4 linked regions of the Styela clava genome follow. The protein of the gene in region 4 purifies or fractionates together with the protein of the main gene of each other region. This does not show direct contact. Links are inferred from orthologs where the notes say so. Each region holds a gene or a part of one and is shown on either strand. Other genes may lie near its edges. The genes, in order: dolichol-phosphate mannosyltransferase subunit 1-like, transcriptional coactivator YAP1-A-like, E3 ubiquitin-protein ligase RBX1 and F-box/WD repeat-containing protein 7-like.

Region 1 (8,093 bases), about 3.0 Mb from region 4:
ATTTTGATCCAATTGAGAATAAAAGAATACTTGAATAAAACACTTGAGTGATTAAATTAAACGCAAAGTACATGAAGAAGGTAGCATTTTCAAAGAAAATGGGAATTGCAATATTTCTGCATTTCACAAAATTCTGAAGCACACTGTTTAATTTGTCATATTTACATCAATACAATGAAAAAACACAATAAGCTCAGCAGTCAATATGACAAATTCGATGACCAACTCCGAACAGAAAATTTCCATGTGTTTTTATATTAATATAATTATACAACGACTTAGTTACTAAAAATCAATATCGATGATAATGCAAGCAATCCTATGCCACGCAATGTGGCACGAAATGTCTTGTCGAAAAAATCTGTCATTTGTTTTTTTTTACTGATCTATACATGGTATGATAAAAGTAACTTTTTTGCATTACTGGAATTAATTAAACATTCGCAAAGATCCAGATTAACCCATGATCATGTGACCTCGTTAGTTAGAGTTGGTAATACAAAATCATATCAGCCTGGCCTTAGTATGCTGGTGACACAAAAAAGATGCCAAACGTCAGGACAAATGTAATTAAAAAAACATTGAGTTTATACTGTAGTATTTTTGTTAATTTTAGGTCCATATATTTAGATTAAGTCATTTTTTTTAGTGTATGTATTATTCTTTCCTTATCCAAAGCTTGTTCAAAAATGATTTTGATGGCTGTACATATAATTTTATGATTTTTTGTAATAAATACAGTGCAATAATAGTGGAATGCAAATATTAATATGTAATTGCGTTTGAAATTAAAGAAAATAATAAAACTTAATCCAACTGTTTAGTTGCATCCCAATATATGTCACAAACTAAAACTATCTTGAAAATATCTTTTAAGTAGACATTATCAAAAACTGTTTGCGGCCCTTTTTACAATTTCCAACATGCAATGCGGCTCTCGAAAACCCATGAGTTTGACACCACCCATCTATTCTAGAGTCTAGACGATTAAAGCATTGCTTTGGGAAATAATATCACTTCAATTGAATTGAAAAAAAATCTCGCTATATTAATTACAAAATCGTTGCTATCATAAAGGTAAACCAATTCAGCAACTCGGAATATATTGGCCTTCACAAAGCAATGGAGGCAAAATTCTATGAACTTTTGTTCTTTTCTTTGTCTTGAACTTTTCATACTCCACAGCCCCTATTAATTTTTTTTTAATTTTAATTATCATGTGATGGTCATACATATCTTTAACTTGTATTTTCTGTCATGGTGTATTATCTCAATGTGTCAAACTTTTAATAAGTGTGCATATTTTGCTTCCAGATGACATAAATGTATTGCCTTGTTTATTACCTCAGCTTGGAGTATTGACAAGAAAAGGGTGCCAGTAAATTACGTAAATTTTTTTTTAACTCTCTGTTATAATCAGTACTCACAATTAATAGGAATTGTAAACAGCCAACGTTCAATGAGAATTATATGCGAAACCCCTCAGAATAAATTTGTCTTCTAAAATCGGAGGAAGGCAAAACATATAGTTAGTTTCCATTCACACAAGTCTTTCAAGATGACTTGTTCGAACCAAAATAAATGAGCATCGTCAGGTGATCGGTAAGGCTGCAAGTTAAATCAGCCCTGCAACCTTCTGCATAGAAGATAATATTAAATAGTGGGCTATGAGCGAAATTCCTAAGTTTAGACACATACCTATCTACGAGGCATTATGTACCAGCAATGTTACCTATGATTAACTAAATATGTAATATGTCTCATAAATTCACCAACTAAAGCAAGTTCGATAGGTGCAAACTTTGTGTTATGGAATTGTATCGCCGTTAAGAGAAGTATAAACAGTTTTACTGTTTTGTATGACACCCTCTTTAAATGAAATTTCAATGTTTAAACGCAAACATTAAAATTACTAACTTTGAACTTTGTCATTATCTGCAAAATGTCCCACACAAATCTTCACGCTATCGCGTTTGTAATCTTCTATGATAAAAAAAAACGTCTATGATGTCCAGAATTACTCTTTACAGCTTGTCTGCCATTCCAGCTTTCCAAATGAGCAAAACTTCTTAGATATAGAGATTATTTTCTTTTGTTACAGGCGCAAAAAGGCTGGTACTACACGTAAAGAAGACGCCGAGTAGCAGAAGCGAGCGGAAAACGGCCGCGAAAGGCGACGAGAAATATGTGCATTGGAGCGTATCATGAAATACAATCTTTCGCATGTAGTCTTATGGAGTGACGTCAGAGTTGCCTATCATGTTGTTTAATGTCATTGTTCAGTGGAATTAGTGATGTAACGTGTCAAAAGATTTTTCTGGTTCTTTTTTATCATGAAACAACACCAAATGCGACTTTTTGTTTACCCTCTCGCAAATGCGACGCGGGCCACATGTGGCCCGCGGGCTTGGGTTTTGACCACCCTGAACTATACCATACTACTGTACTGTACTAGTGTCAGTCTGATTGACTATCGTACCGGCACCGATCGTACCGTATCATCATGGTTAACTGAATATTCAGTTAACCATGGTATCATCCAGCTGCAATATGTAAAGTTTGTAGGATAAAAATGTTTTTCGATAACATCTCATCCTCACCGCCTCTAGCAGTGTAGGATAATATATCATCCTCTTCACTTCACTCATCACGGGTCTCGTGTAGTTTCGTACCTAACGTACTTCTAGTAGGCGTAGCGTAACAATTTTTTGACATGCCAATCCTAACCCTCACCTGACTACGCCATCCAAAAATTACGTCACTACGACGTCACAGTGACGTAATAGAGCCCTTCAAACTATGCGAACTGTCATCCAAGACGCGAAGACGAGAATCCCAAATCGAACAGCCATTTCTCTCGTTTTCTCGTCGCAACGATCCCGATAGGAGAGAGGTCGCTGACGTCAGTCAGTTCTTTATCGTCGGCGCCGATGCTATTTCGGGCGATCGTACGAGTATTTGGCAAGCTCTATGACGTGATTGTGACGTCGTAGTGACGTAATTTTTGGATGGCGTAGTCAGGCGAGGGTTAGGATTGGCATGTCAAAAAATTGTTATGCTACGCCTACTAGAAGTACGTTAGGTACGAAACTACACGAGACCCGTGTGCGACCTATTGCATTTAGGCTATTGTTTTCCAGTTATTGCAATTGCTGCTTACGAATGCATATTTTTCATTCAATTTGTTTAATGAATACCGATGTTTATTGGTCTATGTGCAAACATTTTACCGTATGGTTTTAGATACATTCTGTAATTGAGCGCATCAACTAACGTTAATGATACGTTTTTAGCCGGATAAAATATTTCAATATTCATTTAATCCACTAATCTGTTTCATCTGCTGACTCACAATGAGTTCTGGTATTAAAAGCTTTGTATCTGAAAAACAGTTGGAAGAAAAGAGGAAAGTTCGACAGGAAGAATGGGAAAAATTAAGAAAACCTGAAGACCCTGTTGAGGCACCAGAAGAAGTTCATGACAGCAGATCATTGTTTGAACGATTGCAAGAGCAAAAAGACAAAAAACAAGATGAGTTTGAAGAACAATTAAAGTTTAAAAATCAATTCCGAGGGATAGATCAAGATGAATCTAATTTTCTTTCTGATGTCTCAAAGAGAAACTTTGAACTTGACAAACAGAAACGGGATGAAGAAAAAAGAGAACTTGAAGACTTTCGAACTGCCGTAGCTCAGTCAAGAGAACTTCCAAATGTGCCAATAGATTCTTCAACAAGAGCGGAGGACAAAAAAGAGTTGCCAAAAAAATCACAGGTTGTCAGAAAAAATCCACAACAAAGCATATTGAAAAATGCTGTAAAACGAAAAGTACCAAGTTCTCAAACTTCTAATAAAGAGCAGACAAACCCATGTCCACCAGAGAAAATTCAAAAATCCGAAACTGAATCAAACAATGCTGATAAGAACCTTACACAAACAATAGTTTATCCATCAGCAACTAAGCTTGTTGGTGTATTACCTGGTTTAGCAGCATATAGTGATGATAAAAGTGAAGAAGAATCGGAAAGTGATAGCTCTTCTGATGATTCTGGTTCTGTATCAAATAATTTATTATCTTCTATTGTTCATAAGTCTCGATGACTTCATTTTTTGCTCTTTTTTTTCAAATTCGCACATAGAGTTGTACTAGTTACTTCATGTCAACTCTTAACTTGTACCTAAGTTAATGAAAATTTTTCCAGCTGTGTTGTGTCAACGACTTTGGAAATTTTCTGTTAATGCCGCTAGCCCACATACTCACAGGGTTAGGGTCTCCACCTTCTTTTGTTGCAATTCATTGTTCAAAATTTCAATCATGTCTATTTCGTTGTTTACAAATTTCTGTACAACCCCATAGTTATGAACATTTAATTTTCTCTTCGATTTATTTAATGTTTGGCTGAGATGGCCAAGAATGTTATACCTAACTAGCATATCTGGTTGAATAAATATTGTAATAAATTGGGTAGGCAATACCAAACTGGGTTCTTTGAAAAATAGTTCCCTGTGTGTGACTGACTGTGTGAAATGCCCGTATTATTATAAAAAAACGCTTCCTCTGGCATGTCTGATATTTTCCTTTTTTTAATGAATGTTATTAAATTATGAAGGTATTTGAGGTCACCTGAATACAAAATCTCAGTTTTTAAAATTATTGTACCTGATGACAATTATCATTTATTGGCATGTTGCATTTTAGGCTAACGCTTGTTTAATCTGTGGTGTTTGTGTTCTATGAATAAATCTGCACTTTTTGTTTTTTCTTAATAGGTATATTTAAGAATTATGGGGTCAAAAAATAAATATTCAGTTTTGTTACCAACTTATAATGAAAGGGAAAATTTGCCATTAATTATCTGGCTATTGATGAAATATTTCAAAGAAATGTGAGTTTTCGATTTTAATATATATGTATCTTATCATATTCAATTATTCCAATATAAAGTATGAGCAAATAAACAGTAGAATTTTAAACTATTGATAGATGGTTATCTAAAATATGGATTCTGTAATATTTCCTCCCAGTTATCTGAGCCATTTTTTTTCACATTGATTTCGAAGTTAAAGATTGTTAAATATTTCAGAGGTTGTGATCATGAAATTATCATCATTGATGATGGGAGTCCAGATGGTACATTAGATGTCGCCAAACAGTTGCAGGATATATACGGAGAAGATAAAATCGTATGTTATTTTATAAAAACCTCAATAAATAAAAATTGATATCGTATGTTCTGATTTCATGCAAATTATTTCATTTAAAATACTGTAATTTTTGTCAATATTCAAATTTATACTTCTATATTTACGTTTTGAAAGCATGCTATAAAGATCACAAAGCGAATTTAATATCATTTTATTCTAATTTTGAAGGAAACTTCTTGAGCATTTCAAGTTGGGCAAAATATTATGCTAAGTTTAAGTTTTACATCTTGATTTTATATGATTACTGTGAAAATGATACATACATACATTCAAGAGCAGGCGATCTAGAAGCCAGTGGCTGGAAGTTCTAATCGTTCAAGCCCTAATAAATTGAATAAAAAGCCCTAATAAATTCATTCAGGTTTTGCGCCCAAGAGCAAAGAAACTGGGTCTTGGAACAGCATACATTCATGGAATTAAGCATGCAACAGGCAATTTTATTTTCATAATGGATGCAGACCTTTCACATCACGTGAGTAGAGTATGGTTTTAGTTGCCATTGTATAGTTGTGCAGCAGGTTTCTCAAATGTACTATTCACATTTGATTTGTACTGGTCGATCGGCTATCATCCACTTTTGGTGGTTGTTTCTATAATTTAATGTTCAGATTTTAGAAGTATTAAATATTTATCCGATCAGAAATACACAAAGCAATGAATAAATATTTTTTGTTAATGAGGTCAACAGTCATTTCTTAATCGTGAGGCATGTTTCTGTAATCTTTATATGCTTGTTAGCTCATTTCAGCAATCACTGTTGCAATTCCTTTGCAGTTTATTTGTTATTTGATTAGCCATGTAAAAGTATTACTAATTGTTGTCTTACACCCGTTTATGTATCTAAACTATTATGATACTGCTTCATTACTAGCATATGTCTTCTTTGTTTAGCCAAAGTTTATTCCAGAATACATTAAGTGAGTATTAGTATCATATATGTGTTTCTATCCTACAATAGTTTAATAAGCTCATCAGTATCAACCATTTGTAAGATTATGAACTCTTTTGTGATTACAATACAAGGAATATGACCTATTTTCACATTTGTGCGTACTCACATGTTGACACATCTAAGTTGTATGGTTTAAATATGAACATATTTTTTTGGTTCAACACATTTACTTTGTTTGCCAGAAAACAAGAAGATGGGGACTGTGATGTTGTATCAGGTACTCGATATATTGGAGAAGGCGGTGTTTACGGATGGGACTGGAAGAGAAAGCTAGTTAGGTAATTTAATTATGGATTAATATTTTTTTTTATTACACCCTAAATTTTATGTGAAAAGATGAATATAACATGATTGCCCTAGAATGCTAGATGATGTATGACTGTGTCAAATATTTTGAACAAGTAGTACATGAACAACAATACATAACATTCTAACGATGTTTTGTTTATAGCAATCAATGCAAGTTGCAACATAATTCTTTGCAAGATTGTTACATGGCTAATACTGCTTGAACGTGGTTATTTTTTATGTGATTTAAAAAATTGGAGATTTCTGTATAGCTTTAAATTTTTCAGTCGGACTGCCAACTATATCACTCAAGTCTTGCTACGTCCTGGAGTATCTGATCTGACTGGAAGTTTCAGACTGTATAAAAAAGATGTCTTGGAAAAGCTGATCTCGTCTTGTATTTCTAAAGGATATGTTTTTCAAATGGAAATGATAATTCGGGCAAGACAGTTTGACCTGAAGATTGGAGAGGTAAAGTCTTAATTGTTGCTTGTCATATCATCAATAGGTAACTGACAACAGGGACCGAAAGTAAGATATTAGGGGTTGCAGCAAGCATCCACACTCTTGCATTGGCATGGCAGTCACTTGCGCTTCAACCATGCACTTGCGTTATATTTAATGCTTGTCTGGACCATAGACAAGTCTCAATGAAATCAAGACTGTACAAGTAACAACTGGTTGTGTAACAACGATCAAAAAATTCTCTTCATAAATATATGTACAGTAGGTTGAAACTAGAAATTTATCATATTGGATTTTAATGTTCGAAACTTGTAACAGTTTTTGTGTGTCAGTCTTTTGATACATTTGTAAAAGTCATGATTGATGATAGAAATATTAATTTATTGGTGGGTGTTTCAATTCATGGGTGATATAAGGATATGGCCATTGGCCAGTATTGTTGGGAATTTATCAAAAATATCATATTTCACTTCCAGGTTCCAATCACATTTGTTGATAGATTCTATGGTGAATCAAAGCTTGGAGGAACTGAGATAATCCAATTTGCAAAGGGTCTGTTGTACTTGTTTGCAACAACGTAACATTATAAATCTTTTTATGTATATATACAATAACCTTCTAGCTGCTTTTTTCAAATTTTTCATTGCAATAAGCTTGTGTCATTCCTCCGATATTTTCTGTATTTGATCATGATTTTCAGTTTGTAGTGTTATTATCTTGGCCGAGATATGCCATTAGGTAGAAGCGGTAGAGCTGATTGAACATTATGCAGGTTCAGAAGTTTTCACTCTTTATATTCTATGGAGTATGGAGCTTTCTTTAATACCAATTTATATCATAAATCAAATTAGTCATAATTAGCGAAGTCGTTTTATGTCAATGGTTTATTTTAACATCTTTAAATGATTTTGAGCAATTAATACGATCAAAGGGCGTCAAACTCCAACTTCCAATGCAGCCATCGAATGCTTACCAAAAATCGTAATATTTTGAAATTTTTTATCTAAATGTAATACATTTTTTAAAATTTTCCAAAGTGAAATTGATTATTTACACGGAAATTGACAATTTACTGAAAGTAGTTTTGGAAAATTGAGGTTTTTTTTGTTTTCAATTCGACCCAATTTTGAATACACCTCAATCTAGGAAAAGAATACTTGTGAAAAAAAACACTTCAGGGATTA
Region 2 (7,926 bases), on a different chromosome or scaffold from region 4:
GTATATATATATATACAATACGCTCCACAGTAAGTGGGCATAAAATTTATTGGTTCGGTCAATTTTTTTACTACTATGGAGAGTTTAAAGTGTGTAATTTCCTTTTCTTATTACTTCGGTCTTATTGCTTTTTCTCTTCCTGGAATAAATATGGTCTTATTCGTCTTATTTAATTGTGGAGCATCGGTGTGAATTTTGGTCTATTTTAAAGCTCTAAAAATTACCTATCCCCGTATACAATAATACCTTACATTGAAAAGATGCAAAGTGTGTCATACCGGTGTCACAGATATATTAGTTGCATGCGTGCCATGAATCGGTGAATTTTCTCTGCTCCGACTGAGGGATGGACAATTTCACTTATCGGTAAAGTCGTATCACAGTAATCCAGGGTTACCTAAACGGTAAATTTTCAGAAACTTCCTGAGCTTTTTACACAATAATCATCATGAACTTTATTACATCGCAATCAGTAATTGGAGTAGTATGGTAACATACATATGAAGATACATTAGTTTATGTCCACCGATAGGTGATGTATTGTGCAACATTCTGGAAAGATTGCAATTTTACCAATTCCACTTTGTTTATATAGTACTGTTCGGTAATTAGTCACACTGAAACTACGGGAAATTTCTGTTTTGGGATAAATTATCGTTTCTATTAAAATACTGGAACAATCCTTTTCAACCTGTCAGCAGTTAAGAAATTGGAATCTTGAAAATGATATTAAGTTTAAAATTTTTCACGTTTTTTCTTTTTATATATATAGATTTCATAATTTTACTATTAAACTTTGACACCATTTAGATTTTCTCTCATCAATTTCAGAAAACGAGTATTCAACGATCGTTATTAGAAATGGATGTATATAAAATGTATATAGTAAACCAAAGTAATTTTTTCTGATAGGGAATTTAAAAACTTTCATTTGTAATAAGTGTGCCGCGAATTTTTTATTTCGTTGTTAGTATGACGCAAGCTGAATTGGGAACGCCTGCGTAATCTAATTAGTACGGTAGTTTACCTGTAGTGGAAGACCAAATCATAATATCATGAACTCCATCAAATCTGGAGTCGACCAACACATTGCCTCCCAAAACATTTCTGAAGAATTATGATAAAGCTGTGGGCCACCAGGTCTATTAAAACTAAAAAAAAAATGTGGATAGTAATTTGTGAAATCATTGTAAAATGATCGAAGAAATTTGTAATACGTAAGAGGTAATTTGTAATTACGTTTGAACCTAATGCGTTACATTTGTACTGATCATTGCCTTCAATTATAAATCAATTTATATTCAACAACAACATATGATGATGAATTAACAAAACATCTCTGAGGTTTTCTAAAACTGTTTAATTAGTTTTGAATGTTTTTCAAGACTGTTTAATATCTATCACAGGGTAAATATTTATTCTGATATATTTCAACATATTTGATATTGTGAACATCATACTTTTTAATTTTTTATCTTTGTAAATTGGAATTGTGGCCTAGAAAAAAAATTCCATAATCATTCAGGCTTGTCTGACATTAACATTCACTTGACTTCGACGCAGGCTGTGCAAAACTTTTTTGCTGCCCGTGGCAAGTTTCTGATAAAGATACCCCTATTCCCATAATTCTGGGACCGAACAAATTATAGTAATTGTTATGCATGAGACTAAATAAATTAAAGGTCAACTAAGATAGAAACGTTTGTTTTTATTAAATTAATCATCAAACTAAGCAACAAACATTTCCATTTCGGAAAAGCGACGTAACAGTAGACGTTTTAGTAGCCACATACACAGATTTTCTGGCATGGTTGTTAACCATACCTCGTTTTTGCATGCTATTCGTTTTTCGTTATGTTTCGCAAATTTCAGTACAAACTCAATGATTATTGCGACTTATTATAGTTTAATTGCTGCTAATCAAAAATTAGTCTAAAACTAGTCTTGACAGACTAGGCTCAACTTTTCTACCGGTATTTTTAAATAACAGGGTTGCATATTTTGAATTAAAATGTTTGTTTGAAACATGTAAACCAGTTTAAGGCGAAACCATCATTAAAAGCACCAAAAATGTTGCAACTGTAGAATATATGAGTGATTTTTCTGGGGTCAGTGGTCGGGAAAACATCTATTGTTGACTCACCATCACCACAGTCAGTCACTCACATATTGTCAGCTTTTAATTCAATAAAAACACATCGAGAAAAACATGTGTAATAACGCAAACTCTACCGCTCGGTTCTGCTGTCCTCTAGAACAGGGGTGTCAAACTCATGGGTATTCGAGGGCAGCATTGCATTTTGGGAATTGTGCAAAGGGCCGCAAACACACTTTGATATATTTTGATAATGTATACTTAAAGCATATTTTAGATAGGTGTAGTTTGTGACATATATATATATATATGTGAAGTAATTAAACAACCGAATGAAGTTTTTTTATTTTCCTAAATTTCAAATGCCATTTGCATATTATTTTCATGCATTTCACTATTATTGCAATTTACTGTATTTATTACAAAAAATCATAAACTTTACTTTCACAGATTGTTTTGAAGCAGGTTTTTTGCTGATTTAGCTGTACTTGCTGTAACTGCAACAGTTTCATGGTTCGAAGTTGATCTTTAAATTTAGTCATATTGAATGCTGTTCTTATTCTGATTATGTCTACTTCTATTGTATTTTTTCATTATACTGATGGAAAAGTGACGAATTGGACAATGATTTCAAAATTTTGAGAAATAACAATTATTGTTAAGCGTTCAAGAGCCGCATTGAAATTTCTATGGGGCCACATGCGGCCCGCGGGCCGCAAGTTTGACCCACCTGGTCTAGAACGTGCTACCTGGGACGACTGCCCCTTTCGCCCCCTCTAGGCACGCAACTGCCCCGATGTCATCAACTTGATCAGTTTCTGAAGTATTGTAGACTTACTTTTTTCTTTATACTTGAATTGATTCAAGTTTTTATCGTTTTTTCATTACTTTGCTGAAAACAGCGGGACATGATGGGCAATATTATTCGACGGGTAGAGCTTTCATATTGATTTATATTTACTTGTTTGTGGTAATGTTGTTATGTGAAATAAAATTTCAAGGTAAGATGATTTTGCATTTCCATTTCTTTCTTTTTATATATGACTTGCCTTATCTTTTCATCGTTTCTTCACTTTACCGTTACTATAAATATGAATGCTTGAAAAAAGTTATGCGCAGCGCATCACAATCCACGATGAATTTCATCGGGTTTGCCAACTGACACCAGCTAAAAGATATTATTCGAACTCTAGAACTTTAATATTCATTATGGTGTTGGTGTAAATGTTGTTTTGTGAAAAAAATCTCTTTTTAAATTATATGGTGTGGAATTATACCCGCCAACGCTAGTGGCGCAGGACATTGGGGGAGGCGACATTTACATTTGACGATTGGCTTATACTGTTATAGATGTCTTGTTTGTGACGGAAAAGTGTTGCCGATTTCGATGTCTTTTCGTAAACATGTTTAGTTGCTGGCTACCTATTCACTGACTCTTCTTACAGTCTGATTTCGTTTAAGGTGTTGTGTTGTAGTGACATAATTTAGCCAGGTGAGGGTTAGAAATGACATAGGCTATGCGAAAATCTGAAAATGGTTACGCCATGCCAAATACCTGACTGCTGACTACCGTACCACCGTACGGTACGGTACTGAACTAGAAGTACCGGTACTTGACGTCGTTTAGTGAACTAGCCCTTGATTTTCACTCACATTGGGATTAGTTTAAATATAATAACATACGGTACCGTAACATTAGGAATAGCTAAATAATGCTGTAATGTCTGAATGTTATATTTAGTTATCTGTTTATAAATTCTGTCAAAAACACTTGTCAATCCTTATGCAGAACCACCATAAGATGACGTGTGATAAAAATTTTTTAGAATATCAATCAGGTTCCTGCTGTAAATAAAAAAAATCTCCACTGTGATAAGCTCTGTGGTTCAGTGGTTGGTGCACATGCACCATGCCAAGCGTTAGGACTACATTGATAGGCTCTAATCCCATGGCAGCATGGCCGATAATTCAGTAATTACTGGATTATGGTATGTGCAAGACAAATAGAACGAAGAAATGGGGAGAATATTGAGCCAATATACCCTATTTTAGTTATATCTAGTTTATTATTGAAAGTGCAAAGTTTATTTTCTTTCAATTCTGAACCTATAATGCTAGTTTATATGAAAATAGTAGCATTCAGAGAATAATTTCAACATTAATATCCAAATGTGATGGTTTCCTGACATATATGCCTGTGAGCATGATTTACCAATGCTAATGGTCACTGCTATTATTGTTAAACAAAAGCAAATTTTCTCATGCAAATTAAATACAAATGGCTTACCTTTGGTTAATAACCTGGTTTAGAGACAATTGTCAGTACTTAAAGTTACTACTTACCGTACTATCAGTTTTTTTGTTCGAATCGAATTTGAGGTCTTTTTATGTGACATGAAGGAGTTAAATTTATTATCATTAGAATTATTGCTGTGATATCTTGCAATGGGCAATACATGTGTAAGCAATATTAAGCAGTGAATAGAGCAATAATCAACCTAAAACATGTATAGGCCTATCCAACATACATAACCGAGGTGCAGTATATACTATCAGCTTTTTGTAGTGGCACATATAAGAAATTTTATGTTTATTTTGATGTTTAATTTTAATTTATAGTAAAAACTTATTGCTTTTTCCAAGGTATTTTATGATATATAGCAATAATAGTCTGTTTAGATGAGATTTTTCTAATGTGCAAAATATACCTTTAGCATTGGACCATTCTCCTATTTTTATTCATATATTGGTTCTGGAACACATTCCAAAACTCATGTAATAAAATCCCTATGTTGTTTTCAGCTACAATAGTTCAGAATACAAATACTGAAATAGATGAAACCAAGTTTATCGTTTCACATATCACTACTTCCCTGGTGAATTCTGAGGCTAAAACAATTTTTTTTTTATCAACATTGAACTCAAGTTCAGTCCAAAGTTGAGAGAATTTTATTCTTCCTAGCTTTTAATAATCCTAGTTTAAAACAGTTGACTTTTGATATGTCTATGTCTAATATGGAGGAAGAGGAAAATGACCCTGAAATACAAACTACTATTACACAAGGTCATTCCGGCCATAGTCAGATCCTTCATGTCCGTCAGGATTCTGCAAATGAGTTGGATCAATTATTCAATGTTGCTTTGGATCCTAATAAAAAGACAAAATCCCTTCCCATGAAGTATAGGAAACTTCCCAAGTCATTTTTTCAGCAACCGGATAGACCACGTCATGTGCCGATGCATGCACACTCTCGTTCAATGGGTGGGCTAGTTTCAACACCAGTCAATCACTCACGGAGCTCCAGTACAGATTCAAGTGCATCTCATCAATCCGGTTTAAATTTATCTTCGAATAATCTTCCACAGCAGTCTCAAACACACATGAATAATAATATTGGACCCCGATCTGGAAACTTTACCCCAGGTCCAATGCAACACTCACCCTTCCAAAATTCGCCAAGTCACCTTGCCTTGCAACAACCACAAATCGCGCACTCCCGATCCAAGTCATCACCTGCAAGTTTGCAAATAGCCAACGCAAATATGCAGATGAAAATTCAGCAACCTAGTAATCATATTGAAATACCACCTGATATGCCATTACCACAGGGATGGGAATTCGCGAGAACTCAGGACGGTCAAACTTATTTCATGAAGTATGTAAATAAGTTAATTTTTACTTTTTTTTACAAGAAATACCCTTTTTCATTTTTATGAAGTAATTTTCAAATTTCTAGGTGCTTTTAAGATACTTATAATAGTCCAATATAATAGTCCAATTGAGGAAACAATGCACTTCTAACACATCCTGCTGTCACTTGTTAATTAAACGAACAAGTCTGAAGAACTGCACTTCATGAATCTAACATGGTTTTGGAACATAATATAGTCTGTTTCTAATTTTAGTTGTTGGTGTGATAAGTATAAATCTTATAATACGGTTCTTGCAAGTTATTATAGTACCAGTACTGAGTGCTTCGTGTGATATAAATTTATAAGTCTTCAACTCTGCCAGTACATTGATTTGTTTTATAATCACTTTTCAGTCACACAAACAGAACTACTACCTGGGTTGACCCACGAATTGACGTAATAAAAGAGCAACAAGAAAGAGTTAATGCCAATAACATGCAAGCAGTCAACCATCAACAGTCTCAGATGCATATTAATAGTGTACAACAGCCTGAGGTATCACATTTTTTTACATCATTTATTCTTTGCTGTGCAGACATAAATCGTATATCGAGTTGGAGATTATGGCTGTTTTAATTACATCTTTGCTCCATGCGTTTTACAGCATCAGCTTGTATTTTGCTTGCATGATTTGGTAAGATCTGACAATATATCGGTGTAAGTGATTGCATATTGCATCATTGCTATAAAAACTTAAGCCTCGGAAGTTGGAACGTTCTTCTCTAGTTGTTAACAATAATATAATGTAATATCATTTACTAATAAATTGAATTGAATGATTGAATCAATGTATTTTTTGGTGTTATTTTATCAACAATATTATCGTGCAACAATAATCATATCTAGAATAGCATAACCGAGTCATAATTTGAAATTTAGTGTGGCCTTCGCATTACCAGAAATTTGTGTATTTGACCCAGTATTACCGCTGCTCTAAAATACATGATAGTAGCTTAATTAGTTCAATCAATCAAATCGTTTTTTATTAGCAATGCCGGTAAAGCATAACAAAATGGAAACAAGAAAGATCACAAAATATTTAAACCAAATGGTAGGATAACCGTGAAATGACTATTCGGTCTACTTGTCAGCGGCAACCTTAAAATAGCTTAAATAAAAGTTATGGCTACAAAATTTGCACAGCGCTAAACGTTTTTATGCGAGAACAGCATCGCCCCAAGATGACGCTGAAAGGCAGTAATACACCTTGTTATTTATAAAACTAATCAATGGCTATAAACATTTCAGCAATTAGTTGTGCAGCAACCTCTTCCGAGTGGTTGGGAACAAGCAACTACACCACAGGGTGAAATATACTTCATAAATCATGAAACACGGACCACTAGCTGGTTAGACCCAAGACTTCAAGGTTCCTTTTTTTTAATATTTCCATGCAAATTATCATTTGCTTTTTATACAATATCAAATTTTTATCCTTTTTTCCTATTATTCTATTTGCATCAATTGTAGGCATGAATCTAGGTGGTCAGTCACAGATGAATGCACAGATACAACAGCAGCTTCATAAGGTAACAATTGAACTGTAATAATTTTTTTGTGAATACCCCTCGTTCAACTGTGATCTAAATGTATTGCTGTTTCCAGTCCCACAGTAAAAAGTCCTAGTTTGTTATATGACTTTTTGTTAATGAGATGTTGGGTAGTGTTGCTTAACACTGTATTAACAATATCTATTTCCCAATTTTTCCTTTTTCAATGTGACTAAAATATATCATGACAAGAGGAGGACAATTGTTAGACTATAGAATATCCATTATTAAGCAGTTATTCCAATGTCTGTAGTCTGTCGTACGAAATGTTTTGTGCAGAATTTTTTTGTAAATAAAGAAGTATTGTTCTAATTACGGCATTGTTTTAATAGTACCGAACAACAGTATTGGGCTCTAACAAGTGGTTTTCCCCAAATAATGATGATTGAACACTTCATATAATGTTTGCTTTACTCATCTCAGAAGAAATTTTTATAATCGGCAATGAAGTAAATCAAATTGTTTTGAGCTTAAATATTCTTTTATTTGAAATTTGCATCCTCAGTTTTTTTTGTCTTTTGTCATGACTTTCAAAACAATGCGTTTTCATTGGTTTGTTTCATAGTTATTTTAATTATATAAAAATTT
Region 3 (8,312 bases), on a different chromosome or scaffold from region 4:
TGTAAAAAATGAAGACCCTGAGCTGTAGCCTTAGTTTGAATATATACTATGATGCCATTGTGGTTTCAAGTCACCTCAACAGCTCTTTCAACTATATCTAAAGTTAGTTAGAGGAGTATTGTTTCCATCCATAATTTCAGACAACTTCAGTCAGGAATGCATGACGATGAACAGAATTCGCCGCTAACGAATGAGGTGCTGGAAAATCGCTTCTCGAAGCTTATATCTCGAAGGTCAGAATATCACCGAAGAGCATACGAAAATGAGAAACAACAGTTGTTGTAGACGCCTAGAAAAAATCCATGTCAGGATTTCAAATTGTGAATTTTGCCGTCTGAAAATATGCTTAAACAAGGTCATAGGTAACCTTATTGTGACTGGAGAAACTTGCTCAAAAACTACGCTAAAGTTATGTTTAACAAGTGATTGGATTTAGAATAACCCGTTGTCGTATTTTTATGTTCTAGACCAGGGGTGCGCAAACTGTTGCTCGTGGGCCAAATTCGGCCCGCAAGGAAATATTGGGCGGGACGCGCCAATTTTGAATAATCTGCTCGTTTTTAGTTTAGTTAATCTTGTAAAAAAGCCAATACCAGCACCAGAGTGTCGCTGTCAAAATCCTGTTTCTCACTGAATTCGTTTAAAGTCGGTGTGACAATAAATTGAATAGCGGTTTTCTTCAGAAATTTATGCATTTTTCTGTTATTTTCAATTTATTTTATATAGGTAATTATTGTGCATTTAGTATTGTAAGAGACAAACAAAATTTTAATATGATGCAGAGATGTATTCGAATTTAATAAAATTTGGCGATAACTGAGATCATGATTTTGTTTAAAAAAAATCTATTTTAACACATTAAAATAAAATTTATATACCTAGGCAAGAACCTTTTATGTAATTAATTCAACACTGAAAACTATTCAAATACGGACATACACAGTATTATTGATTATATAGAATGGAGTTCCATAGCTTTACACACCTATTTATTTTATTTGTATGCAATCATATGCCTTATATATGTCATGTGAGATTACAGTGCCTCTTATTGGAGGTATACATGTTGTTTAAAAAGCTGCTCAGCCTATGTTTTTGCCATTTATCACATTGTAAATTCTTTTATTGCATTATGCCAGAAGAGATTACTCATTTTGTAGAATGATATCAACTGTTTTTATTGCTATGCATCAAACTCTTGTTTACAACACTTAAACCAGAAATTCTCCATTTTCTTTTTGCACGATTAGTTTTGTGTTATATTTCTAGCTTGTTCTTTTTATTATGCAATATCCCTCCTATATTCAGACCAGTGATGACTACGTCTATTCTTGTCGTTTCTTGCAAGAATAAAAACAAGTAAGCCATACTTTCCTGTAATGCTCTTTTAACATCAGAAAATCCTAGTACCAGCAGTTTCATTGTTTTGAGATTCTAGCAGCAAACAGGGTATTCGTAAATCACTGATATTCGATTATGAGGAATTTGATTAGTGGGGGTAGGAAGTGCGGCAATAATTGTGTGATTTGTTGGTGCGGATGTGGTCAATATGGACTTACCTAATCTGACAAACGGTACTCCCGTAGTATGGGTAACAGGTTAGGGCATATTATTTCAATTTTCCTTATTATGAGTTCGGGGACAGTACCTACCCCCTTCCCTGCCCACAGTCCCTTTACACAACTTGATGTAAAATAGGCGAACAAAATTAGTTACCTCCATATTGGTGCACAAACTTCTGGAGTGCCTGGCAATCTATACCTGTGGTGACTTGAGTAATTGTTTGAACCAAAAAAGCACTTTTTAAATTTAAAACTGAGTAATTCTAACTAACTGAAACTGTGGAGTCACAGATTTATTTTTTCAAAAATCAATATCCCATTATGATTTCATTTAGTATAACGGTGAAGACTTACGATGAAATATATTGTATTTCATGTAGAGGATCAGTCAAACAACACTATTGCACAACTACAATATATATATATATAATATGTTTTTCACAATTTAGCTGATAATATTCCCAATTGAACCAAAAACGACAACAAAATACCTATAGCGTGCTGTGACCTTCTCAGCACAGCATCAAAAATAAGTAAACACAGAAGGACAAGACTCCTATTTTATCATGTACACCAAAGGAATCGTATGTTACATAATGCCCTTCTTCAAATAACTAAAAATACCACTCAAACGGTTAGTAAGTAGCACAATCATATAATAAGTACATGAAAGCCATCACTGAAAGACCACATTAACATTAACAGTCTTCATCAGTATAGTAAACATGTCGAGTTTACAAATAATACCGCAATTGGAGAAGTACAGGGAAAATAATCCAAAGCATTAATGGAGTTTAGACAACTTTATAAAAAGCATATCCTTAATAATAGGCATCACAATTATCTGGCTGGAAATCAGGATGAGTTAAAAATTGATGGATATAAATTATCCAGCAAAGCAACAAATGCGCTGAAAAACTTAATAATCTTTCATGATAATTATAATCATCAGTTCGTAAGAGGTCATCAATTGTTTTTTACTTTTGGAGCTATGCAATTCTAATATCTTACACACACAAAGTACTAAAATATAGCACATTATATTTGTTTCTCATAAATACATTGAAGCAGTCCAAAATACATATAGCATATCATCGAACGGTGTATGTTTGAAGAGATCTATTGACTCGCCATTGCCACAAGCTGAAGAAGAAGACGCCCACGTAAATACCAGCAGCGATATAACAGTTCTTGGCTGCATCTTCATACGCAGCGTATACAAATGTTTGATTATTAATCTGTGTAGAATTCATAGCAATATCTGGATAGAGCGCAGGACTTTTGATTTGGAAAAATACACCCATTAAGCCGAGCATGATGACGGCCCATATACTTATTAAGTTGCAGCATACCGAACATTTTGGTCCAAGAATCTTGCAAGGCATTATTCCTATTCAAAATCTTTTAGCAATAATCCAAAATGCACAATTCAGCCTGTCAGTGAGCACACGATTCCAAATATAACTCAATATTTTTTTGAATGTTGAAATGTAATCACTCTAAAAGAAACAAAACAACAAATGGATAAACAAAATTCAGAGGACCTGGAGGACGGGCATAATTTAATAAAATATTAAAAAACGTATAAGTACCGAACTTGCCTGTCCACCAAAAACAGTTAAAAGAACACAATAAAATGTAACGATGACACAATGTGAAATCGGGCAATGCCTTTAAAATCAATTTTAAAATGTGAGACAATGATCAAGAGAAGATCATGGCAATGCGGTACTTCATACAAACTAGAATTCAGAAGAGAAAAAAAATTGTGGCTGCGGTTCTTATGTCAGTATGTGGTGAATACAGTAAAAATGGATTGTTCAGTGAAATTTTATTACGGTACCGGTACATAACAAACATAAATCACAAGAAAATGAACTATGTATGTGAGAAAGTGGCATGCATAGACTTGCTACAACAGACAGAATCGTTACAGCAGACTCGAAAAATTAGAACTGTCTACGCTCCCTAAAGCAATAGGCATTTAACTTCTTATTTGCAAAACTTCAAGTCAATAAAGAAATTGTTATTTGATTCGCTAATCTACACTTATCACACTAGAATTTTTGTGCTACCGGTATAACTTATAAATTCTGTGCCACATAGATACGCAGATACCGAAACCTGGAAAGGTAGCAACCTCTGAACCTAGACAATTAAACAGATGAGAACCTAAAACCTGAAAACCGCATTATAAATTCGCCACCAATATTCCAGTATTTCGAGCATTCACAGATACAAGTTTACACTTTTATCAGCTACCGTACTTGTACATCAATACGACAGCGCGAAATATGCCACCCTACCCAGTTTGAATATGTACAAACATGAAAAGCGACGACATTCAACAAATGCAATAACGATCGCAAACGAAAACATCGATCCGAAGCGGAAGCGTCATGTGACAAATCAGAAAAAGCTTATGACTTTTGCAAAAACGCTTTGCGCGACATGTTGCATTTTGCGCGAATCACTTTATGTTGGATGTCTAAAAGAAAATATTTACGGGAAAGAACTTTTACGATATTTCTGCGTTTACGCGGAAACTAAATAAAACTTAAATCTCAGGAAGAGCGTCCATTGAGTTTTTTGATCAATATACAAAACCGTAAATATATAACAAACAACAAGCAATCTGTCCGACTGGAGAGGGGGTTTAAAGAGAGAGAGAGTTTATTTCATTTTGTTGAACCCTATTAATATTTATTTACGGTCAAACAAAAAAAAAATTATGCATATAAATTATAATCAGAAGCCCGAGTTGGATCATAAATCAGAGTTTGGTTTACACAATACATTTTTCTGGTACAAGGCCATTCGTGCAAATATTGCAGTAAATTGTAGTCTTCGTATAAATGTCTTATAAAAGAGTCAATATAAACTCATGGGAAATGAATTGAAAAATCAACTAAGGTAATGAAAAAACCATACAATAATAGTAATAATAACCAAATATAAAAAAAAATAGAGAGCCTATGTGCAAATAAATATTGGGTAGCAGATGAAGCAGAGCCATTATATAACGGCTCTGGATGAAGTATCATAAATGCAATATAAAATGAAATTTTGGTTGTATGTATGTATGTATGTATGTTTATTTGCCTCAAAAATGTAACAGTATCTGCATAATAATTAAACAGTAAAACAGAGACGGGATACATGTTCAAGACCTTACTGGTCTAAGACACAGATGTGCGACATGTACCCCTAACAATGATAACAGCAATTTCAGAGTTTAGGACTGCTGCGTTATACTAGGGCAACATACATGAAACTGACTATACAAATAAAACTCTAGTAAAATACAGAGTACAATACGATATGTAGAGCAGCAAAGTGATATGTGGAGCAGCAAAGTACAATTACGCAATATCTGAGAGGGCGGATCTATCTACGGATATAAACAAGAATGTCTATGCATGGAGTAACTTCCATCCGTGCAAATCTGAACTGGTTGTGGTGCGTTGACGACCGTTTCCTCGTCGTACAGATGAATATACAGATATAAGTTTACTAGTCGTAAACTTTGACTCCATGCAGCACTAGCGATTTACAAAGGAAGTTATCAAAATCAAAGCCCATATACACCTGATCAAAGTCAACCTACTGACCTAAGTGCCGGGTGGGGTGGCTAGTACTTCAATGATACCCTGTACTCGGTTTGTGGCAGTCTTTTTCTGCCATAGGGTACTGGTACCGTGCAACATCAAAACGATTTGCAGAAGTTTCATCTACGGAGTTTTCGGACAACGAGTCGACGTAAGACTGACGGTTTGACTTATCCCTGTATACAGGTATTTTTGGAGCTGTTTGAAAAAAATACGCAATATACAAAAAAAGGGAAATGGGGGAGTTAACTTTAATTACAGTATGGTCGTATCACTTCCTCCTGTCTATACTAGTATACCGTACTCTGATACAGTACGGTACTAAACTAATTTATTATGGTACATATGGTATTATATTATTACTAATTTATTATTATGGTACTTTTTATTTTTGACGAAAAATAAAATCTCTTTCTCTCACAAGATTTACAGACATTGCGGATCACGACACCAACATTTCAATCGGTGAGGGTGGAGGCAAACTTGAATGTTCTAGCACAAACAACAGACACTATTCTAGAATTTAAACATGTGCATTTGATGTAAAATTTATTCGAAAATGTGTATTTTTATGACCATAAAATCTATGACTTAATTGTGTTTCACCCATTTTGCCATTTCTTTTTTATACGTCTTAGTTCGTCGTCGTCCATATGCTCAATTTCAGAGCAATCGTTGTGACTCTATTCCGACTCTTTACTGTAAATCTCTCATAATTTATTTTTCATGATAATTTACACTAGGCAAATGAACAGCTTGTGAGGGGTTTTATTTTATTATATCAATTTTTTTATTCATGTTCAGTGTTGATGCTGTTTGTAGAAATAAATCTCTCTCTCTCTTAGGCTATAAGGAGTAACCTATGCTTTGAAGCAAACAGTCAAACTGGTGATCACATATTCAGAAAATATGATAAGTTTGGTCATCTCAACATAATAGAATTGTATTGATGATGTACTATAATATTTTTTGATAACGATTACATTTATTTTTTGTTGCTATTAGTTAGTTAAATCTTGATTAGTATTCAATATCACACAGAAAAATGGAAGTTGATCAGCCATCATCTAGTAGTTCCATTCCTGCCAAGAAACGTTTTGAGGTAATTATAAATATATAACCTACCATTCAATCTTCACTAATTTTATTATTATTGCGGGATTGACCCAAAAAAACGGAAGTTACCATAAAATTTTAATTACTCTACAAAAAAATATTCCAAGACTTGTAACTTCTATCGGGGTATGTTTCCGTAGCTCAGTACAAAAATGATGTTCTGACTAGTATATTTTTCAAATAACCAGTGATCTTGTTTTCTGGGTCACTCTGTACTCAACAATAAGTGTGTCATTATTAACGGTTTACTTTATTAAGGTGAAAAAATGGAATGCCGTTGCCCTTTGGGCTTGGGATATTGTGGTCGACAACTGTGCTATCTGTAGGAATCATATTATGGATTTATGTATTGAATGTCAAGCTAACCAGACATCAGCGACTTCGGATGAGTGTACAGTTGCCTGGGGTGTCTGCAATCATGCTTTTCATTTCCATTGTATTTCTCGTTGGCTGAAAACTAGACAGGTGTGAAATGATACTTTTTCTCTGTATTCATATAATGATGAATATTTTAGATTGTTGTAATTTTCAAATGTGATGTCAAATTTTTTTATGGCTTTTATATATTTTTCATTGCAGGTTGGAAAAACAAATACCGGGATATTTGGATTTTCATTCACCATGTTATTTTTTTTTTTCCTAAAAAATTTTTCACACAATATTGCCATAGGGATTGTTTTAATGCTACTTCAAAATATGTCATTCAACAATGTCTTTAGCGCAAATTTCGAGTTATTGTCTTTATCTGCAGATTGTTCATTAAATTTATTATAATGCTTTTTTCAAAAGAGTATTTAGGGAGATTGTGTTGAATGGCCAATAAATTAGTGGGAAGATGACACATGACTGAAACCTCTTTATGGTATCATCCGCTAAAAATGGCCTACTCATCACATTGTCTGCCATCTATATAATTTAAATCAATTTGACTTTGCAATCCCTGGGTGTAAAAATTGTATTATTATTAACAATACAATCCAGTTACTGCAAAATCACGATGTCCTTTGGAATATTATGTGAAGAATTAATATTAATTTTTTTGAAATATTTCTAAAATTTGTTATTTCTTAGATTTTTGACAATTAACCACTCCCATTTTATTTTCAGGTTTGTCCGCTTGATAATCGGGAATGGGAATTTCAGAAGTATGGGAGATAAACTGATTTGATATTTGCTGTTCCTTCCTATTCATACCTTTGTTCAGTGAGCGTTACATGCCTTTTTATTGCTATATTGTTATGGATGTCATTCCATGTACAATATTATTATTCCACTAAACTTCAAAGAAAGAGGGTTTTTGAAACATTACAGAACTCTCCATTGTACACATTTTATAAAACTCAAAATATTATAACTTGTGATCTCTGTGTTAATGTCGTTTTCCTGTACTCAATTCTTTTTGGTGTGTGGGCAATATGGGATCCGGCATTTAATGGTTATTAGCAGTGAAGCTATGCTCTATTTTTACCACTCTGTGTAGAATAAAAAAAATTTGTCCGTTATGTATATTCCTTAAAATTTTTAGGCATTACTTAGTAAAATAGATTAGTGCAGTGGTTGTAAACCACCAAGAATTGAGATATTTGCCTATGTGGTCTAATTTCATAGAATGAAAAATGAGGCGACTAGCTAAATCAGCCGACATACAGTGTCGGCCATAAACGAATACGGGACTATTCTAAATACAAACAATACCAAATGCAAAAATATTTCTTAATCTGGAATTCAGACTGCATTCCAAAATTTGACAACCCCCAAATTTTATTCTGTTTCTCGAATAACAACCACATAGGAATTAAGCCACAGTGATCTTATGATAGTAAAGCGGATATAAATAATAAAAAATGGCATGTCCAATGATGATTTCAAAGTTTCTGAGAATTCAGATTCAGATATTTATTTTCGTCATGCAAAAAAACAATGCGCGATATGAAAAATGAATAAATAATATAATGTAACAAAATGTCAAATGGATATCGGCTTGTTGCAGTTGACGCGGAGTCGCGAAAAGACTCATAGAGTCATC
Region 4 (8,375 bases):
AAGGTAGCCAATGATTTTCAGCATTCCACACAGAGTAATTCCAGGGCGCTAAACAAAACAGAAATATCTAGGAAGAATTTTTACTGTTCAAAGAGTACTCAAAAGTCAGCAGGGAGCATCATAACCAAACCCCAGCCTTTAATTCATAGTAGCAATGAGGGAGCAGTTTCGCCAATGATTGTGTCGCATCGTAAAGATCGTTTGAAGCGAAAGGATCGAATAAAAAAGAAGTCAAGTTTACTGCAGACTAAACCAATCCATGTGTTAGATAGTAAGACAGTTTACTGTGATTGATATTAGTTGATTTGTGTATCTCCTCGTCTAAAAGATTGCCTATTTTTTTATATTGACAAATGCCCTGAGGGAGAAAAATTTTGTTTTCTCGAAACTACTAAAATTGAGAGCAATCTAATTTCACATGCGAAATCAGTCTATGTCATGGGGGTTTGCTTTTTCATATTAGATTTGAATGTTTTATTAGCCCTCTTATGTGTTACTGGTGACTCACCATTATATATAATAGTCCCTAAGTTCAAATTTCTAGCACTTATTAGTTCTTGGTGCAAATGCACACACTGGCTTTATGTGAACCACAACATGTGTAATATTATGTCTGATGAATTTTAGAGTTGAAGAATTTCGGTTCAATTTTATTATTCATGCAATCATTTAGTTTTTAAATAATATGATGATTTCATATTGGTTTTTATTTAATTCACTTTGAATCACATAATGAATTGAGCAAATTGTGGCCTCAATTTCCTCACAGCTAATTTGCTCATAAATGCTATGTTATTTTTCAGCAATGCTAATTTCTACAATAAACTAAAAATGATTTGTTCTGAACTTTGGTCATTTGGTTCATTTTAACGTAATTTTTACTCTCTACTTTTATCCTCTATTCTAGCTGGAAGTTATAAAAAGGTACTTGGTTCTGCCAAAGACTCAAATAAAGCTGCTGATATCGCTTCTGGACAAAAATATGTCGGAACGTTAAATAACTCTGCTGGACAGAGTGACACAACTGCTAAGTCATTCAAGAAGCAGCTTATTTATGAAACAAATGACTCGAAAAATTATAAACCATCGGTTAATGCTGTTAGTTCCCGCAACTCAACAACATATAGCACAAATGATAAAATAAAAATTGGAAATTTGACATCAGGAGGTGGTTTTGAATTAGTAGCGTCGATAGAAAGTGAAAATTCTCCTACCTCAAGTCCACTCTCTACACAAAAGAAGGCACCCCCTTCAAATGAAAAAGTCTCCACTAGCAGCTGGAAAGCCTCTAATACAAGCTCAATTGTGAAGACAAAAATGCCTCCAGCAACAATGTTAAATCCTGGTTCAACTAAGAAGGTTGATAAAAAATTATACTCTGATAAGACTTTCAATCGTTCGTTTGATTCCTCATTTAGCTCTGCTGTTGATGTTCCACTTGCGATGAGCTCACAGGCTATGGAAAGTTATGCATCTGATATAATCAAATTTATGATGGATCAAAACCAACTGGCACATGCAAATCCAGTTTACCACGGATCCCCTGGTTTATCAAACTATGATGCTATTTCAAAAATATTGGGTCTCAGTCCTAATGACGTTTTGCCTAAAGGTGTTAAGAACTCCAAACAAGACGAAAAACTCAAATTTAAGATTTCATCCGCTGCTGTAACGCCCAGCAGTGCTTCAAAGGGTGGCTTCCCAAAATTAGATGTTGGTACTAAACGTGTAGCTACAGCAATTGGGCCTTCTTGGTCTTCTCAAAATCCCACACCCCCTAAAATATCGAAACCTGACAAAGTGCCCTCAATAGCAAAGCAGAAAGTATGTCCACCAACGTCAACAGCGCCTGTGTATTCTGTGACATTCGATGATAAGCATGCCATAAAAAATCTCACAATGAGACCGATACCAAACTTTGCTGTGCCGTCTATATCTAGTTCAAACTTTTCTGGCCAGCGATCGCGTTCTAACCAGCACCACTCTATTGAGAAATCCACTGTGTCTCCCAATACCCCAAATTTTAAAATTGCACAATCAGCCATAGATAATTTAGCAAACATACATAACGTTCCACCAATGTCTCCTACTTTTCCGCAAAATACGAAACGGAGTTCCTCAACTCCTTGTTCTGTTCCAATACCCAAACTTCAATATTCACCATCTGGTGCGTCTAATATTAAATTGGAATCAATCCGTGGTGGGTTCAATCCAATGTTACTTTCGTCAATGGCTAGCTCTTTCAATCCAAACACAAACTCGTTTTCTACTGCTTACTCGTCTTCGTCAAACCTTTCTAATTCTGCTGCATCGAAGCTCAAAACAATGCCAGTCAGTTCTGCTCGAAATTTTCCAGAAAATTATTCAATGACTGACCCACAGTTTTCAAAATCATTTCCATTGGTAAGTTTTCTAAATTAATTTTCTGTTTAAAGAATACTGTGTGTATTAATTTGTATATCCATCAATTTAAAATACCTAAACATTTCAATAATTATGATATCCCAGTTTCAATGTTTTACAAAGTTAAGTTTCATAGAATAAGTGTGTTGATTTAGACATAATGACACACGCCTGATAGATCTAACGAAGGTAACAGTAGTAAAATTTTGAGTTCTACTTCTATTGATTATACCAGCATAATGCTCTGGTAAGAATTTGAAACTTGATTTAAAATAATATATATTAATGCATCTTTGCTTCTGAAGCTCATATTCAATCTAGTTACCAGCCCCCAATCTAATTCCTCTTAATTGTACTTTAAAATAAACTTCAAGTGTTAACATATAACTTATCCACTACAATTTTAGGTCAACCTTGTTGATATTCAGGGGAACGATTCAGTTAAGCAAGCAGCATTGAATCTGAATATTAAAGGTAGGTATTCTAGGAATCCATCGTTTTGGTACGGTAAATGGTACTCATACAGGAGTACGAGTCTAAGATGTAAAGGAACATGCAATACAAATTCTTTTATTTTGAATTAATTTCTGGGGTTCAACTACGTACCAATTTTCAATAATTTACGTTAAATGAAATATCTGGAGTGTCTGACTTGAGCTATCAAATTAATGTTGGCTAGCTTGGTAATTAGGCGTTTAGTATTTCACATTACTCTATCAAATAATCCAAAGTGTCACGAACCGAGTAAACAATTTCAATCTTAACAGTGAGCTTCATTTGTTTCAGCAAACCAGAACAGATGAGAGAGTGGGCATGTTTTTTATAGTCATTCATTATACATCAACTATCTGGTTGTGTGGAGAGTTCAAAGAATCATATCTGCAGTTTCTGACCTGTTTTTCAGCATTTCATGTGTAATTTTTTTATGTACACCATGATATTTCACCTGAAGTTTGAAATTATAGGGAATTTTATGGGTTCTCGTACCTAGTAGTCTGCTTTAACCAGTTTAAAACTGACATCAACAACTCATTTTGTATCTTTTCACATTGTGTGTTATCATCGTCTGGTCATTTTATATTTTTTACAAGGTCATTATTCATTCTCCATTAATAAATATGAATAAAGGAATATGTTCTGCTTTCCAATCTTTTTCTGAATGTTAACACTCTCTCAAATGTTTACACACAAAATGAAATGAATATTTTGCAGTTTGTCGAAAAAGTCTTTGCTTCCTTGAGTATAAAAATATACTTTCATCTATGTTGCAATTAAAGATAAAAAGTATAGTTTTTTCAGCAGTCTAGGTATAGCAATTTGATAATATTGATGCTGGCTGATCTCTTGCCTATTATTTAAACTTTACAAGGCAATTTGATAATCCAATAATGCATTCTAGTCATTTCTATCTATTCAAAGTGTAGAAATTTACTTGGTACACTGCTCTGTCCGAAAGTGAAGTGATCATATTCAATCGTAAACTGGTGCTACTCAATTTTGAGCTTTTTGACTTGAGGAAAGTTTGGAAAGGAATACTTTTCTGTCTTGAAATAATGTTATCTTCAGATTAAAGCTGCTAGTTATTTTGCAATAAAACATTGTCTATTCTGATGTGTTTATATAATTTAGTTAAGGAATGGTGTAAAGTGAAAACGTCTTTACACTGGTTCAGCTTGTGTCTGCTGATGTATAGCATAAAAATAAATATGACTATTTGAGACAGGTTTGCTATTTTAAGATCTGATTTTCGTGTTGACCACGAGGAAAAGATGTCTCTTAACTTCATGCATACCACGGCTTGTGGATTTTCTATTATAAACATTCTACTGTAGGGGTTATATTCAAAATGTGAAGCGCGGGTCGGTGGAAGCATCGAAGTCCTCACTGGTGGTGGGAGTCCCAAACAATACATTTCAGGCATATATATCCCAGCTAAAGTTCATCTCTGGTCGACCGTTTTAGATGTGCATCGGTGATATTTTTGATAGAACATGAATAGCCTTTACAACAGACATCCGTAATGTATGTAATCCCACCGTTTCTGCAATATAGTAGCGTGTCCTGTAGATGGCAGTAAGGATGAGCATTGGTCAAGCAGTTCGCCACCACTGCACCGAGACCTGAAATAGGTGTCTGATTTTATTCACTTGTTGATTTGTGTGATTGCTTGGTGTAGTGATGTTATCATCTGTATGGTGAGTGCTGTTACAGAGTTTCACGTCTGTTAAATCTGTGAATAGGCACATTTTCACGGATATAGACTACCTATAGGTTATTTATTTACTGACCAGTTGGAAAAAATACACTTGACTTTACATAAAAACTTAGACAACATCAGCAGTCTGGAATCAGAGATTTAGAAATTTTGACTGGTGTGATGGCGCGATTTAGTTCAGTAGGAGGGGATTAGTCTACGGTTTTTATTCCAATTAACATCTAGATAAATCCAATTCACAACAGCACAATGTTTTTACCAAATCACCTCCTAAAAAGATTTCAGTCTTTTGCAGAACAGCCTGATAAAATTTAGGTTACCTGGGTTATAGGTAATCTGAATGTCAGCATTATTCCGGTATTGTTTTCATTTATTAAAACTTCCATGGCTTTACAAATGTATTAATTTTAATTGGACTAGTTTAACTCAAAAGTGTTTGCATCTATTTTCAGACCATTACTGCAGTATAGTCTGATAGTGCCAATCCTAAAACTTCTCCATAAATACAGTAATTTGAACAGTTCTCTGCTATTGACGTCTGTAACTAAAAGAAATGTACCACTTTGGAAACTAATTGTGTTTAGACCTTGATTCTAACCACTGAACCAACTTTCTGACAACTCAACTTAATGGAGTTCGATGAGGAAGCTGTCGATATTAATACTGCGTCAGTCGATGAATTTGTGACTAGGTTGAAGGGAGTTGGACGATCTAAAGCTCGAGCTATTGTTCGATTCAGAACAGTGAGTATTTCTGTATTTATTAAAATATAAATCACATGAATACTGGAATAAGAATGGCTGATTAATAACAAAATTATTACACTATTAATGGTACAAAAAATTTTCAATAGTAATATGAAAAATATATTTTATATATTGCAGATTTAACCATAAACCTCGAAGCTTTTGTGGTTTTATGATAATTCAACCTTTATAAAATTGCTATAGTATGTATGAATTTAGAATGTTTTAAATCTAAATAAAATGTCGAAGTTTTCTTCAGTCTGAGTATACTGTCAGTGTCAGCTATATCTAGAATTAGTCAAACATGCTTCAAGTCCACGCAAGTGTGCCTGCGTTAAATTGGTTAGCCTAACCATTTTATTTAAAAAATTATGTCTCATACCGAGTGACAAATTTTAAAATGTGATTTGATTGCAAGCCAGCTTGCATCAAAGTCATTGTCTTTTTCTGAGAATTGTGTGACCAAGCAAATGCAAGAAAGATTTGGCTACATGAAGCGCCAAAACAATTCACCCAACCATTTCCATTCCTACTCATTTTTCAGCGATTAAAAATCAAATCACTTCGATAGCCTTTGTCCCTTTTTTGTTTCGATTGTAAAAATTGATCAATTCTTATACCGCTATAGTAAATTTTTAACATTGTGACAGAAATATGATCTTTTATTTTTGTATTAGACTGTTGGAAAGTTCAAGAAGTTGTGTGAATTGACTGATGTTCCTGGAATCACACAATGTATTCTAGAAAGAAATCAAGGTGTATTACTCTGTGTATCAAGTAGAGCGAGCGAAATCAAGGCTTTACACGAGCTAAGTGATGACGAACCCCTTGAGGAAGGAGATTTATCCGTATCGGAGTTGATGTTAGCAGGTACAGTATGATTATTGAAGTCTTTCAAAACTTTCAATCTCAAACTTTATTCGACTTTAAACCTGAATTTCACAACATTCAATATTATCCTAAATTAATTCCGAATTGTTTCTCTTCGACATAATTTTATTACATTATTTCTATTGATATTGGACATTTCAGGAACAAAATGAGTTGTTGGTAAATGAGTATGTAAATGTAAAAATGAGTTACATTGTAAATCAACCCAAAAAATTTTTTTTTTGGTATTTTCCCAATTTGTCATTCTGTGTGCTCAAACATCAAGTCCTAGAAATTCCATCCACATCCTGAGAAGGGATGGACAGTTAACGGCCTGTGGGTCACATTCGACATGCCAAAGCATTTTGTACGGCGCGCTTGCTCTTGGAGTAATTTTTCACTAATATATACAAAATTTAGATGTGCTTTTTTGGAATATCCAAACTATGAATAGTTAAAAAAAATGTTAATTTTTTTTGTTTATTCCTGTTTCAACAATGGCAGCTGTATTAAATTTTAACTGAAGGTAAATATATGGTACATTTCTCAATGCGGCCCTCTGCATCAAAAACTTTGTCCATCCCTCTGCCCTAGGATGCATTCTGATATTGGAATTACATCCATACCTTGGAATCGAACGAGTCGATACTTGAATAATTCAGTTGCCGAGCAAAAATATCTAGTCAAAAATTCCTGGATATCAAACGGAAACTCAGTGCCCGAACACCGATCGCACCTCCGAGTGAGATGACGTCACCCGAACACGCATTTCAGCTGCCTCTTGACCATTTAACAAGAGAGCAATGCTCAAATATATGGGCACTAAGGCCATAATGAAGTAGTATGTGTATGTACAGTATCTGTCACGATAAACACCCGGTAAGGCAATCTTCACGACTATCGTGAAAGCGGAACCTACTCAAGGTGCGCTCAATTTTTGATGACGTCATCGCATACAAAAAACGAACCCTATAGAGCCCCAGTATATTAACTGATACAAAATTTTTTGTTTAATTCTTATTTTGTACACATTTAAATAAATATTGTTCTACGTTCGTTTTGTTAATATTTTTGGTATTTCGGAATGCGTAAGAACGATTAAAAATAATTACCATTGTTTCTTATGGCAAAAAATTTTCGATACTCGAACAAATCGATATTCGAACATCACTCCTGAACGAATTATGTTCCACTACAGAATTATCACTGTACAAGAATGTGTTCTATTTCGAAATTTGGCAAAGTCCGATTCTATCTGATGAATATGAATATTTAGGTTTTGTTCGAATTATTTTGGGAGGTTGGCCGTGGCCAAGTCTGATTCTATCTGGTGAATTTGAGAAAATTATGATAAATTTTGTTATTATCCATTCAAATATGAATATTCAGGTTTTGTTCATTATACAACTCATGTAATTTAAATCAAAATTATGTAAACAGCATTACAACAATATGCAAATTCGTTTTTGCATCGCTTATAAGGTTTCCTTTAATTACCAAGTCTCAAGTTTTTTTTCCATAAATATATTAAAAATGATAAATGGTTGGGTAAAGATTGATCATTGGCCGGTAGCTATTACTTTTTTGGCCATTTTGATTTATATTGCACATATATACGTGGTTAATAATTGAAAATCCCTATTTCTGCTTTTAATGTATAAATGTTCAAATTGACCGAAAAACATGGTCATTGATATACAATAGTTCCACTTAGCTTGTGTTACATAGCATTCTTGAACCTTTCGTTTGAACAAATTAAAGATCAGTTCATTGCAGCAACATCATAAAAGGCGTTGAATTTTAACAAATAATCCCATTGGGAATGTTCATCATTCAAAACAGGTTACGGTTGTATTACATACTAGTACACAACATGTTTCTCATACTTAGCTTAGCGGTTATGTTTTGTATATTGCCAATGCAATGATAAAATGCTTTTAGGCTGTTTAGAAAACGATTTTATATGACAGCTATAACGGGTAATCTGCCTTGCATCATACCTGCCTGGGCAGTATAATGAATGATAAGCCATAGTTTCGCTGTTTCAATTTTGTGTCAACGGCCTAGTGTTCCGTTCATACGACACACCTTAGTTACTAGTAAGACTCGCATCACGCGCCGTATTATCACGTGCTTCAATG

The links.
Region 1: the proteins of F-box/WD repeat-containing protein 7-like (region 4) and dolichol-phosphate mannosyltransferase subunit 1-like purify together in Homo sapiens (affinity purification with mass spectrometry, with the first as the bait; 3 studies listed by BioGRID). This does not show direct contact. The link is inferred for Styela clava from reciprocal best matches to the Homo sapiens genes FBXW7 and DPM1.
Region 2: the proteins of F-box/WD repeat-containing protein 7-like (region 4) and transcriptional coactivator YAP1-A-like purify together in Homo sapiens (affinity purification with western blotting; 4 studies listed by BioGRID). This does not show direct contact. The link is inferred for Styela clava from reciprocal best matches to the Homo sapiens genes FBXW7 and YAP1.
Region 3: the proteins of F-box/WD repeat-containing protein 7-like (region 4) and E3 ubiquitin-protein ligase RBX1 purify together in Homo sapiens (affinity purification with western blotting; 8 studies listed by BioGRID and IntAct, with this or other methods). This does not show direct contact. The link is inferred for Styela clava from reciprocal best matches to the Homo sapiens genes FBXW7 and RBX1.

Annotation. Positions count from the first base shown.
Region 1 is NC_135263.1:8,595,573-8,603,665, reverse strand, and holds dolichol-phosphate mannosyltransferase subunit 1-like, read left to right. Parts: upstream 1-4,744; 5' UTR 4,745-4,784; coding exon 4,785-4,885; intron 4,886-5,083; coding exon 5,084-5,183; intron 5,184-5,565; coding exon 5,566-5,676; intron 5,677-6,095; coding exon 6,096-6,121; intron 6,122-6,338; coding exon 6,339-6,434; intron 6,435-6,731; coding exon 6,732-6,915; intron 6,916-7,385; coding exon 7,386-7,490; 3' UTR 7,491-7,580; downstream 7,581-8,093. Other genes in the region: PSME3-interacting protein-like, read left to right, coding at 3,354-4,100. UniProt on the Homo sapiens protein: Transfers mannose from GDP-mannose to dolichol monophosphate to form dolichol phosphate mannose (Dol-P-Man) which is the mannosyl donor in pathways leading to N-glycosylation, glycosyl phosphatidylinositol membrane anchoring, and O-mannosylation of proteins; catalytic subunit of the dolichol-phosphate mannose (DPM) synthase complex.
Region 2 is NC_135257.1:9,974,381-9,982,306, forward strand, and holds the start of transcriptional coactivator YAP1-A-like, read left to right. Parts: upstream 1-4,896; 5' UTR 4,897-5,095; coding exon 5,096-5,751; intron 5,752-6,141; coding exon 6,142-6,283; intron 6,284-7,036; coding exon 7,037-7,157; intron 7,158-7,258; coding exon 7,259-7,317; intron 7,318-7,926. UniProt on the Homo sapiens protein: Transcriptional regulator with dual roles as a coactivator and corepressor. Critical downstream regulatory target in the Hippo signaling pathway, crucial for organ size control and tumor suppression by restricting proliferation and promoting apoptosis.
Region 3 is NC_135252.1:17,433,970-17,442,281, reverse strand, and holds E3 ubiquitin-protein ligase RBX1, read left to right. Parts: upstream 1-5,131; 5' UTR 5,132-5,204; coding exon 5,205-5,321; intron 5,322-5,594; coding exon 5,595-5,635; intron 5,636-6,211; coding exon 6,212-6,272; intron 6,273-6,544; coding exon 6,545-6,751; intron 6,752-7,393; coding exon 7,394-7,444; 3' UTR 7,445-7,788; downstream 7,789-8,312. Other genes in the region: uncharacterized protein LOC120342750, read left to right, coding at 141-285. UniProt on the Homo sapiens protein: E3 ubiquitin ligase component of multiple cullin-RING-based E3 ubiquitin-protein ligase (CRLs) complexes which mediate the ubiquitination and subsequent proteasomal degradation of target proteins, including proteins involved in cell cycle progression, signal transduction, transcription and transcription-coupled nucleotide excision repair.
Region 4 is NC_135263.1:11,561,206-11,569,580, reverse strand, and holds the start of F-box/WD repeat-containing protein 7-like, read left to right. Parts: upstream 1-5,055; 5' UTR 5,056-5,247; coding exon 5,248-5,361; intron 5,362-6,041; coding exon 6,042-6,234; intron 6,235-8,375. Other genes in the region: uncharacterized protein LOC120340979, read left to right, coding at 908-2,403, 2,811-2,877, 3,190-3,206. UniProt on the Homo sapiens protein: Substrate recognition component of a SCF (SKP1-CUL1-F-box protein) E3 ubiquitin-protein ligase complex which mediates the ubiquitination and subsequent proteasomal degradation of target proteins.